Linked DNA regions of Kluyveromyces lactis. The protein of the gene in region 1 binds, or shares a complex with, the protein of each later gene. Links are inferred from orthologs where the notes say so. Each region holds a gene or a part of one and is shown on either strand. Other genes may lie near its edges.

Evidence for each region.
Region 2: GON7 (region 1) and PCC1 share a complex: the UniProt entries of both Saccharomyces cerevisiae proteins name them as parts of the EKC/KEOPS complex. The link is inferred for Kluyveromyces lactis from reciprocal best matches to the Saccharomyces cerevisiae genes GON7 and PCC1.

What each region holds. Positions count from the first base shown.
Region 1 is NC_006037.1:564,818-567,062, reverse strand, and holds GON7 (chromatin DNA-binding EKC/KEOPS complex subunit GON7), read right to left. Parts: upstream 888-2,245; coding exon 528-887; downstream 1-527. Other genes in the region: FEN2 (Fen2p), read right to left, coding at 1-283; RIM1 (Rim1p), read right to left, coding at 1,244-1,636. UniProt on the Saccharomyces cerevisiae protein: Component of the EKC/KEOPS complex that is required for the formation of a threonylcarbamoyl group on adenosine at position 37 (t(6)A37) in tRNAs that read codons beginning with adenine.
Region 2 is NC_006037.1:48,921-51,038, forward strand, and holds PCC1 (chromatin DNA-binding EKC/KEOPS complex subunit PCC1), read right to left. Parts: upstream 855-2,118; coding exon 820-854; intron 742-819; coding exon 513-741; downstream 1-512. Other genes in the region: KLLA0_A00550g (uncharacterized protein), read left to right, coding at 1,179-2,118. UniProt on the Saccharomyces cerevisiae protein: Component of the EKC/KEOPS complex that is required for the formation of a threonylcarbamoyl group on adenosine at position 37 (t(6)A37) in tRNAs that read codons beginning with adenine.

The sequences.
Region 1 (2,245 bases):
TGAACATTGACAATGTCAGAATACCCCAAGCAAAAGTGCAGAAACTCAACCAAATCCGAGGTTTGATTCTCAATAGAATCAAATTATGAGGGATCATACCTAACAAATATCCAACGGTGAAACACGTATTAGCGATATTGAACTGATTTGACTTGAACCCGAGATCCTCTTTCATACCGGAAACATAAGCATTGGTGAAACCGATTCTATCCACATAGTTGATCCAATATTGCAAGCAGACAAAAGAAAGAACGGTCAAATCGACCCGAAATAGCTTGCCCATGGCGTGATTACACTTTGATGTTATTCAGCTGTCCTTCTAGGACTCTTGGCGGTGTATACCAGTACCTATTTCTCTCTGAAGAGATGTCACAATCTGTTGACTCACCAACTTTAAGATGATCAAAAAACCGGAACGATATAGTACAATTTGATGACACTATTTATATACAAACAGATAATAAGTACGTATAAATACCATTCAACACTCAAACGACAGAATTCGAAGCTCTCGATCTGCAGAATCTTCAGGTTTCTTCAGAACCATCCAATAGATCGTTTATCTCTTGTTCTTGCTTGCTGTTACGAGGTTTTTTCACGTGATTGATCTTCTCAGTCAAATACTCATTGATATCGTCTTGTAATCCGGTCAATTGCATCCGCAGTTGCGAAAGCGTGGTATATTGATCGATTCCTGTCTTACTATTGACGTTATCAACCTTCTTTGGGTCACTAGGTTTATCGACGTCTTGATGCCCTTGTTTCAATACATAATCTGAAGCACCAGTAGTTCTTCCCTCCGTAGTCTGGTACCTGGGGTCAGAAGGATCGACTTCGAATTCATGAGTTGATTTGGGTCCGGTATATGTAGCGTGTGGTAAAGACATTGGTTGATCCTTGTGTTCGATACCCTTTTTTATCTTTTTAATACCTTGTTGATGAGATGAGATGATGATTTAACATTAGAAATCTTGACAATATGATAAATAAGAAATGCTATTCATCAGAACATGTCCTGTGACACAATGGGGGAAAAAAAAAGGCATACTAGTAGAAGTAAAGGCTGGGAGTGAGATTCGAGATGTCCTTGATAGAACTTATTAGATAAAAACAGTATTTATACGTAATTACTAAGAGACAGAGAGAGTATATAGAGGTAGTCAAAAAAATACTCCATGTGGAATAATACATTATTAGCAGCCGAGAGAAAACAACACGAATTGGTTAACAGATCACAGCATTCTTAAGCTTGTTGTTCTTCTTCAGTTTCAGGTGCCTTTGGGTTCTTCAACAAGTTGATATCCCTTTGAACCAAACTCAAACTTTGGCCCCTGGAACCATCTTCTCTTTCGAAAGTATAGTTAGAAGCATCAGCTTCGATGTAAACCAAAGCACCTTTCTTGACGTATTGTGTCATGAAATTGATGTGGTTAGTGTTGAAAACAGTGACATTGAACCAGTTTGTGTTGCTGTCCTTTCTTGGCTGAGAAGCAATGGAGTATTTCAAGTAACGAGTATCGTTAGCAGTAGTAAACTCTTGGTATTCGCTACCAATACGGCCGATAATGGACATCTTGGCAAAATCATTGGTGCGGGCAGTGGCCGAAAAGGCACGGCGTTGGGCTAATCTGAACATTGGGTGTTTAATTGTTTAATGATAATGATAATTTATCACTGGGCTGGGAAGTATAACTGTATTTTCACACGTATTCTTCTCATACTAATTCAGTCTTGATATTTGTTAAGGTAATTTATAAAACCGAATTATATCAAATGTCTTTATAAACAAAAATGTATATGAACGGAGAGTAAGAAATGGCACATTTACAATAAGAAAGAACATGCAGATGCGGGAAAAGAGAAACCGTGGCAATGTTTCGCATTGCAAATGGAGATTCTAGTTTCTCTTGTGACAAATTAGATATCAGAGGCGTATATTGTAATGTTTATGCTGTCATGAAACGAGTGCATTTGCTGGTATTTACGTTTATCGCGTCTTTACCAGTAAGAAACTCTTCGAGTTATCACCATTGTTATCCGGGTAATTGAAGCATGTGATAATCACGTGCCTTGTATTCTATTGTCATTACCCGGTTTTGAGTCAATGTTTCCAACATGAAATGCCCCTCGTTGGCTTTGTCTTTCCCCTGTCATCTCGTTCTTTTAAAGGCCTGGTATCTATGCCTGACTCAAATAACAAACTTGACTATCTTCGTTACAGATTGACTTGAGTGCGTTCATTCTA
Region 2 (2,118 bases), about 520 kb from region 1:
AAAAAATTGATAGTAAGGCATATGTATATATACATTAATAAGTTGGCTTGGAAACGGAAGGGGAAAGGAAAAGTTCTACGACCGGTTTGTATCTGTTTGCCAAACCTTTACATATTACCTCAATCATTTTTCTTTTCTTCGTCTGAAAGCTGGTGATGTACTCTGCGTGTCTCCACAACTCGAAATGGTAACGACATCTCACATGACGACGGTCTTCTTTGATTCTAATGCATGGATACGAATTGTCGCTAATCAGTACGATGCTTTATTGTAGAACTTGGCTATAGACTTAGGGATTTCATGACACTGTTGGTAAATATTGCTAGGCTTGATCCTTAACTTTTTTCTTCACTTTCGTTCCTGCATAATATGAATAACGAATGCAATGACACAAATTGTTCTGCGTTTAGTTTTTCTGCCTTAAGAAATTTCATAGTACCATAGGTTAGAAAGTAATAGAAAGATGGGAAGATGATGAAAAGGCACCCCGAACGTGTACTGTTCTGTTTGCATTAGCACAACTCATCAATAGTTTCTACGATTGTCTTGATTGATTCAATGACACTGTTCACACCTACACGTAAAATACGCTCGTCAACGCTTTCAAAATCACATATAAGTTTGGTGTCTTGCGTAGAATAAGTAACTTGGAAATCCTCTGGTTTCATGATGGGGTCTGGAAGCAGCACTTTCCTTGCTACATCAGCTTGTTTAATGCTTTCAAATGGTATTTCCAAATGTCTGTACGGCATTTTACATCACAACTTGTTAGTATTTCAAGTTATAAACTTGCATTCATAAGAGCCAGAAATAACATACAAAGAGTGCTCGAAAGACGTGTCTCCTTTATTCATCTTAAAAGAGTACTATTTATCCGCTGATTGAACTCACTACTGCAGCAAGTTTCAAGTGTGTATCATTCATAAAGATCTCAAAGTCAATAAGTTCATCCTGAACATGAACCACACACAGTACGGATGCGTTTTTCGAAGACTTTTTTGATTTCTAATTGGGTAAAAATAACAGAACATCAAGTTTGAAGGTAGTTTAGATCAAGCATGGATTTAAGTCTTTAATATCTGACTTACTATCAAAATGCCCGTCCTGGTACCAGGTGCGAAGATAATTTATTATCAGCTAAGGATTGGCAGGCCGATCTTCAAGGATAAAATTTTCTCATGGCCAGAATGCCTGACGAGTCTAACGTAACTAAACAAGAATTAGGGATATATAACGGTGTCTCATTTACAATTGTCACAAAGCTTTTAGCAGAAGGTGCTAAATCGTACCAACTTGGTTCGAAACTCTTAGATGATGAGAAGCTTCTCGCTAATAAGAAATTTGAATATTCGGGGGAACTGCTCATCGTAGATTCGGTGTTTTCAGGATCTGGCCGGGATAAAGACTGCGATTTCGCCACGAACGTCATAGCACAATTCTTTGAGCAGGTTATTGTCCCTTACCGCCTAATAAAAACTACATCCAAGTCATCTGTCATAGAACTGGCCTCGAGCATTGACAGCACTAGACAGTACACTGTTCTCTTTCTTTCTGGTGATACATCGATATCAGAATTCGTTAATAACCTGCCCTTGAACCACGACTGTATTTCAGTGCTTCCATTCCCAATGGGTACAGGAAATGCATGGGCAAGCTCTTTGAAGTTGATGGATCCAGCTGTCATATTCTCACAATTTGTCAATGGTAAGTTGTCCTGCAACGATTTCCCGTTGTATAGGGCAACTTTTGACAACGGTTATGTCCTTAAATTCTTCATAATTTTGTCACTGGGATTTCATGCAAATTTACTTCATCTCTGCGAAGAAGATGAGTACCAGAAAATGGGCATTGAAAGGTTTAGAGTTGCTAGCCAGCGAATTTTAAGAGAATACAAGCTCGAATCTCGCGTCTCTATTCCCGATATTCTGGAAGGATCTTTTAGTTATTTTGCGTTAATAAATACCACAAATCTGGAGCCAACTTATATGCCATCTCCCGATTCTGATCCATTGGAATCACAACTACATGTATTGGCATACCAGTCTTCTCTGGATAGAGTAGAATTCCAGAAAAGGGTATTTATGGGTTATTCAAATACGAAGCATTCAAACATCTTAC